Linked DNA regions of Cricetulus griseus. The protein of the gene in region 2 purifies or fractionates together with the protein of the main gene of each other region. This does not show direct contact. Links are inferred from orthologs where the notes say so. Each region holds a gene or a part of one and is shown on either strand. Other genes may lie near its edges.

Evidence for each region. The genes of interacting proteins can lie anywhere in the genome.
Region 1: the proteins of Elavl1 (region 2) and Igf2bp1 purify together in Homo sapiens (co-immunoprecipitation; 3 studies listed by BioGRID and IntAct, with this or other methods). This does not show direct contact. The link is inferred for Cricetulus griseus from reciprocal best matches to the Homo sapiens genes ELAVL1 and IGF2BP1.

What each region holds. Positions count from the first base shown.
Region 1 is NC_048600.1:109,104,682-109,108,332, reverse strand, and holds part of Igf2bp1 (insulin-like growth factor 2 mRNA-binding protein 1), read left to right. Parts: intron 1-1,295; coding exon 1,296-1,418; intron 1,419-1,714; coding exon 1,715-1,834; intron 1,835-2,506; coding exon 2,507-2,581; intron 2,582-3,520; coding exon 3,521-3,651. UniProt on the Homo sapiens protein: RNA-binding factor that recruits target transcripts to cytoplasmic protein-RNA complexes (mRNPs). This transcript 'caging' into mRNPs allows mRNA transport and transient storage.
Region 2 is NC_048597.1:89,140,383-89,144,133, reverse strand, and holds the start of Elavl1 (ELAV-like protein 1), read left to right. Parts: upstream 1-1,494; 5' UTR 1,495-1,656; intron 1,657-3,751. UniProt on the Homo sapiens protein: RNA-binding protein that binds to the 3'-UTR region of mRNAs and increases their stability.

The DNA.
Region 1 (3,651 bases), on a different chromosome or scaffold from region 2:
GCTGGGATCAAATCCAGGGGCTTGCACATTGTAGGTAAACACTCTGCTGCTGGAAATGGGTAAACTGTATTACTCAACAGGGCTGGTCATCTGGCTCCTAATGTAGGGTTGGGGGCATAATCTTGGGTTTCGTGGATTACTGTATTTTAGCCAATCTGATCTAGATGATGTGATACTCCTCCAGGAAAACTTGTATTGGGGTAGACAGAAAGGCCATAATTTAACTTCTTCTGAGATAAGACTTCAGTGTGTAGGCTAGAACCGAATTCAGTTCTCACTCCTTGGCCTCCAAGTGCCAGGAGGCTACCATACCCAACTCAGGATTTATATTTATTTATTTTTGTGTGTGTGCATATGTGTATGCAGAGGGCAGGGGGACATCAGATGTCCTGCAGTCCTGTTTCTGTCCCCCAAACCCATTGTGCTTAGGCACATGTGTGATCATTTCCATGGGTGCTGGTATTCACACTCAGGCCCTCAGTGCTCTTACCCACTGAACCATCATCCCTCTCCCTACCATCTGATTTTGCTTTTTTGTTTTTGTGTGTGTGTGTGTGTGTGGTTTTTGTTTGTTTGTTTGTTTTTGTTATTTTTTTTTTTTTTCAAGACAGGGTTTCTCTGGCTTTGGAGCCTCTCCTGGCACTCGAGCTGTAACCAGGCTGGTTTCGAAATCAGAGATCCACCTGCCTCTGCCGCCCGAGTGTTGGGATTAAAGGCGTGGGCCACCAATGCCCTGCAGATTTTGCTGGTTTGTTTGAGACAGTGTTTCAGTGTGTAGCCTGGCTAGGCTGGTTTGGAACTTGATAAATAGAGCTAGCCTCTAACTCACAGAGATTAATCAATACTGGAATTTTATTCTCACCATGCCCAACCCCATTTTGATCTTCTAAAGGCAGTTGGGGATGGGATACCTAGCAGAAAGTTTCAGCACTACTGGGGCCCCAGGAATCAAAGGGAAAGTTGTCTCAGCTTCTCACAGAGGGGCATTACATTCTCAGGTTATGGGCCTCTTTTGCTTCCATCAGTGTGATAGAAATAACTAGAGAACCTGCTTAAACATACAGTTTAGTCCAATGAGGAGATCTCCACGGCTCAAGGGAAACCACAACACCAGGCAGATTTTGTACAAAAGCAAATAACTTCTTTGAGGAGCTGGGAGTCCTGCCTCCTCCTGTAGGTTAGCCAGAGCCACATCCTATGGCCCAGCAGCCCCCTCAGCAGGTTGACCCCATACCCTAGGCCACCCCCCTGGAGCCTGTGGGCGCGCTGACCTGAGTCTCTCCTCTCTCCTCCAGCTGCAGTCTCACCTCATCCCTGGTCTCAACCTGGCTGCTGTGGGTCTCTTCCCGGCGTCATCCAGTGCTGTCCCTCCGCCGCCCAGCAGCGTCACTGGGGCTGCTCCCTACAGCTCCTTCATGGTAAGTGGACGGTCTTCTGACTGGGGACCCATGGGAGTCAGAGCTTAGTGCATTGGCAAGATGGTGAGAGAGGCCTGCAGCTAGAGGCCAGCTGCACGAAAGCAGCCCAGCCCGGAAGCACCTGTGGCGTGGGAGCAGCTTCCCACTGATTGTGCTTCCCTTTAGCGGGATGAGAGCTCAAGAGTCCGTGGTAGCCTTCCATGACCTGATGTGTAAGGCAGCAGGATAGAGGGGCTCCTGGGTTCTGCCTCGCCCTACTCCCTGGCCCTTTGGTAAGGAGTCCCTTGTCCTGGCAGCAGGCTCCTGAGCAGGAGATGGTACAGGTGTTCATCCCTGCCCAGGCTGTGGGCGCCATCATCGGCAAGAAGGGGCAACACATCAAACAGCTCTCACGGTTCGCCAGCGCCTCCATCAAGGTGAGTTCTTCCAGGTCTAGTTCTTCACACTTTGGGGAATGAAAGCCCAGTCGCCTGTGGGTGTCTTCACTACTTCTAACTACGTTTCTAGGCTATATGAGAAGCAGTATAAGACAGCAGGCTGAGATGTTATGAAAATAGAATGGACCCAGCCCTGTTCTAAACCAATACCCCCACCACCTGCTGGACTCACTTTGCACGTGTGGGATGTAGGAAGCAGGCAGGGCCTAGGAGTGAGCACTATGTCTGTGCTGGTTCTTACCTCCCTGCATCCAGAATCCAGGAAACCAGTGCTGTTGTCAACTCTATGGGTCCAGGTTGATGGGTTTCATTCTATGGCATTTAAAGCTTTGTGATTCCCTCCCTGACCCCAAGAGAGGTGAAACCTCTACCTTCTCTATGTAGTCACCTCATAAGTCCCTGCCTCTTGGCAGCACCCTGCTAAGAAAGGACCCTCTCTCTGATGGGATGGTGGTGGGGAGCAGTCCTGCTGAGGAGATGTCACAGAGGCAGGTCCCTCATCACAGGTCTGTGTGCATACAGGAACTTGGATTTGAGGCTCTTTGTTCTTCTTCCCTTTCTCAGAATGGACAGAGGAAGGGAATTAGGGGATGGAGATGCCTTCATCTTCCTCTGGAAGCAGCCCCCTCTGACTAACTGTGTACTTTATAGATTGCACCACCGGAAACGCCTGACTCCAAAGTTCGAATGGTTATCATTACTGGACCCCCAGAGGCACAGTTCAAGGTCTGTTCCATATTGCATTTTCACAATGGATACAGGGAGCGGAGGTTGGGAACTTAACACATTCGGGGAAAAGGCTGGGGCGGCTTCTGTTTGCTGTCAGATTTCTGTCACGTCTTCCAGGCTCTACAGATACACAGCTGCGAAGCTGCTTTCAAAGTGCTGCTAAGCTTAATTTCTGTTCATGTCCACTTCCTCCCTCACTTCCTCATGGTCCACACAGGAATGTGAGAAGGAAGGGAATCTGAGGTGTTGGCATTTGATGCCGGCTCCTCTTTATGTCTACATCGCTTCACTTGATCTCTGTGAGGCTGGAGACTGGGTACCGGGTAGCTGTCTAGGCACCCAAGGAGCATCAGTTGCCTCCATTCATGGTTGTCATGCTAGTTATTGCCACATCCTGGAACCTATAAGTAGTACATCCTTTGAAGTGTATATTCATTTCTCTCTTTCAGGAGGGAGGTGGGAAGAGATTAAGGCAGGGTCTCAGTTTGTAACTCTAACTGGCCCAGAACCAGGTCTGCAGACCAGGTTGCCTATGCACTTGTGATTCTCTTGCCTCTGTAATCCTCGGATACTTATTTACTCATGGGTCATAATCTGAGGGTCTCAAGCATTACAGATAATCAGAGAACCGTTGAAGGTCACCCACTAGGGCTTTGCAACCACTTGCCTTAGCTGGCTGGTCCTCCTAGGTAGAGGAGCTAGGGGACTAAAGGCCTTACACTTAGATACACGGCTGCTTTTTATTTTTATTTTGGTTTTTTGAGACAGGGTTTCTCTGTAGCTTTGGAGGCTGTCCTGGAACTAGCTCTTGTAGACCAGGCTGGTCTCAAACTCAGAGATCTGCCTGCCTCTGTCTCCCGAGTGCTGGGATTAAAGGTGTGAGCCACCACCGCCCAACATACATGGCTGCTTTTAACCCTGACTTCTTCTCCCTAGGCTCAGGGAAGAATCTATGGCAAACTAAAAGAAGAGAATTTCTTTGGTCCTAAGGAGGAAGTAAAGCTGGAGACCCACATACGGGTGCCAGCTTCAGCAGCTGGCCGGGTCATTGGCAAAGGTGGCAAAAC
Region 2 (3,751 bases):
GAAGGCGAGAACTGACTCCTGCAAGCTATCCTTTGATTTCTACATATATGTTCATACAAAGACATACATACAGAATATATTAAAATATAATACAGTTTTCAAATTTCATAAAACTATCTTTAAAAGGTTACATGGCCAGCTGTGGTGTTGCAGGCCTGTAATCCTAGAATTTGAGAGACGGAAGCAGAAGGACCATTTCACCAACATCCTTAGCTACATATCGAGTTGAAGACCAACCTGGGTCACATGAGACCCTGTCTCAAAAACATACACATCACCTCTAAATCCAGCACTCAGGAAGCAGAGGCAGGCAGATCTCTGCGAGGCAAAATCAGTCTGGTTCACAGTTCCAAGCCAGGGCTATTTAGGAAGACCCTGACTAAAAGAAAACACGCAAAAAAAAAAAAAAAAAAAAAAAAAAGACACGAGAGACAGAGAGAACTTTTTTTTGGAGGGGAGGTTGTTTTCGAGACAGGGTTTCTCTATGTAGCTTTGGAGCCTATCCTGGCACTCGCTCTGGAGACCAAGCTGGCCTCGAACTGAGAGATCCACCTGCCTCTGCCTCCTGAGTGCTGGGATAAAAGGCGTGCGCCACCAACGCCCGGCTCAAAGAGAACTTTTTTAATCATGCAATTTGCATATACTTTTCTGATAGCACTAGCGCACAACAGCAGCCCCCAAAGGGACAGGCAGTTGTTTTCTAATCACTGCCTGACTGGCTGACACATAGTATATACTTAAAATTTCAAAGAACGGGGACTGGCAAGATAGCTCAGTAATTAAGAGCACTGACTGCTCTTCCAGAGGACCCTAGTTCAGTTCCCAACGCCCACATAGCAGCTAACAACAGTCCAGAGGAACCGGCATTCTCTTTGACCTCCGTAAGCACTGCGCGCATGTGGTGCACAGACATACATGCAGGCAGAAACCCACCCATACACTTGAAAAACAAAAAACTTAAAACCAATAAATTTCAACGTTAGAGCCTTAGGGAATGCCATGCTGACCACATCCCTTAATTCACTAGTAAGAAAACTGAGGCCAGGCGAAGTGACGTCAACCGGTGCTCAACCTCAGGCGGAACCGAAACGTCGGTAGGAACCGGGATTCGAACCAGGGATTCTACCCTCCTAGTCTGGGCTCCCGATGACCACACTGCTTACTGTGGGCGTAGGCGGCTGCACAGCCCGTCAGATGAGGACCACACGGCATGCGTTCCTCAAGGAGAGCCATTCCTCGGCCTCCGCTCCAGTCGGCGTCTGCTGCGCGCCTGGCCCCAGCTAGCCCCTTCCACGGCCATCGCTGGCCACTCCGAGTCTCCACCGGCCGCTTTAGCCCTTCGCAGGCGGCGCCGACAGGAAGTCCTGCCTCCGCCGCACGCACCAGAGTACCTCGACAGCCATACTAGCCAATGAGCGCAGGCTCTTCGAAGACGCCGACCAATAGACGAGCGCGCTGAGAAGGGGCGTGTCTGGCCGCGGGGCCGGGGAGCGGGTCGTGCGCGCTGAGGAGGAGCCGCCGCCGTCGCCGCCGCTGCCGCCGCCGTCGCCGTCGCCGCTCTGCCGCCTCCACCACCGCTACCGAGGCCGTGCGGAGCCGTTATCGCCGCGCCGCCCGCCCCGGAGCAGAGCCCCGGGCCTTCCCGCCCGTGTTCAGGTGAGGCCGGGTGGCTTCGGCGACTTCCGAAAGAGTAGGCCGCGCTAGGGCCTGAGCTCGCCTAGCCCCGCGGGCGCCCGCCGGGCCTGCACCGGCCGAAGGCCCCAGGCCGCGCCAGGCCTGGGTACGGAGACGCGCGTGTGGGCCGTGGCTAGGCGAAGGGAAACCGACTCGGTTTGATCCAGGTCGGCGACAAGCCTCCCCCGGGCCAGATTCCTCTCTGGGCTCCCGCGAGAGAGGCGGGAGAAGGACACGGCGTGGGCACGCGCTTTGGGGGGCCGGGCTCCGAGGCTTTGGGGGGCCCTGCATAGTCAGTCTCGGAAGCCCGGTGATCCGGGGGCGGAAGAGAGGAGCGAGGGCCTTGGGCGCCCAGAGGTCACGGCCCACGGACTCGCTCCCTCGGGAAATCCCACAGATTTCTTTTGTGGCCGATTTTCAGGATACACCGCGACGGATCGTGAGGTCCTTTTAGAAGTGTGCAAACCTTTCTTCTGTATGTGTGGAAGTCCTAGAAAATAAAAGGAAACAAATTTTGATCGACATCTCTAACAAAGCTGTTCTCGGGACGTTTGCGTTTGTAAAATAATGTATAAATATTGAAAATATAATTGCACGCAGTTGAACAATGGGAAGTGAAGGAGGGTCTTTTCTCTTGTCTTTCTGCTGCTAAAGCATGTCAAAATGGGTTTTGACACCTACTGTGTGCAGGGCAGGCGGAGAACTTTTTTGCGCTGGACAGAGCTTTCATTATCGAAAGTGTATCCTGTGGGATACCGATGGCCAAGTGCTCTAAAAGGGGCAAGATCCGATGATAGAGAAAGCTCTTCTAACCTCCTTGCTACAGACAGTTAAGGTCAGATAATGGTTGGTTGTGGGGGCCTGGCTGCCCTGTGCATTGTAGGAAGTTGGATGGCATGACTGGCTTCTGCCTACTAAGTATTAGCATCTCTGCCTCCCACTTCTCCCAGTTGTGAAGACCAAAAATAAATTCAAGCGTTGCTAGGGGTCTTTCTTGCTCTCCCCACCACCAAACAGATACACACACAGAGGTGAGAAATCCTTAAATAATCCTTCTAGAAAAGTTCTTCCAGCCCTATCTCTGATGTTCTGTGGGATGCTCCTAAGATTTTCGAGTAGGCTATATTGAACTGCTTGTAAAATAGCAGGATGAAAGTACTGGGCAACCGTAAAGATGTGAGGAAAATCCCAGGATTGTGCATGCCACACATGGAATACATGATATTACAAATAATCAATCACCATGTTTTAAAACTTCAATATCCACTTAAGAGAAGAAAGTAAAGTTTAGCTTAGGATAATCTTGTACGCTCAAGTGGCCAGTGCAGGATTTGAACGCAGGTCCGAGATTCCCCAATGTATTGACACTGAACGTGTGTGTACAAAACTGCTGAGGTCTGGTTTTTAAAATGTTGCGGGGCTGGAGAGATGGCAGACAAGAGCACTTGTTGCTCTTGCAGAGGACCTGTGTGTTCAGTTCCTGGCACCTGAATGATGGCTCACAACCATCAATAACTCCAGTTCTAAGGGATCCCATGCCTTCTTCTGACCTTGCAGGCACCAAGCACAAATACACTTCCCATACATTTGTATAGACAAAACACTCACATATAAATCTAAAGTTATTTTTTAGTGTTGTGACTTGGAGGTCTGTGAAGAAGCTGAGAGAAATAAGAAACATTTCTGTTAGCACTGGTTTGAGGGAAACAAATTTGGATGTGTTCAGGAATAGGTCACAGGGCAACATTAGAAAGGGAGAGATTGAAAAACATACTTTTTCCTGTGCTTGCTCAGTTGCTTCCCACACTTACTGCTTCTCTTCTCTCTGCCTTTGTACACCTGCAGAAGTTGACTTTTGAAGATACAGATCATGCTTCTCCTCATTAGAAGTCTTGGGGTGGGGTGGGGAGTTGTGTTGGGCTGTTCAAATGGCTCTAAAGATTTAAATGAGAAGCCCTTAGTTTGGGGTGACCCTCTACACCCTCTGACCCTGTCTTATCTTGGAAGAAGATCTCTTTCTCATGCTGTGTGGCCCCGTCTCAGAGCACAAATACCACTTGAAGCTGCCTCCAACTGC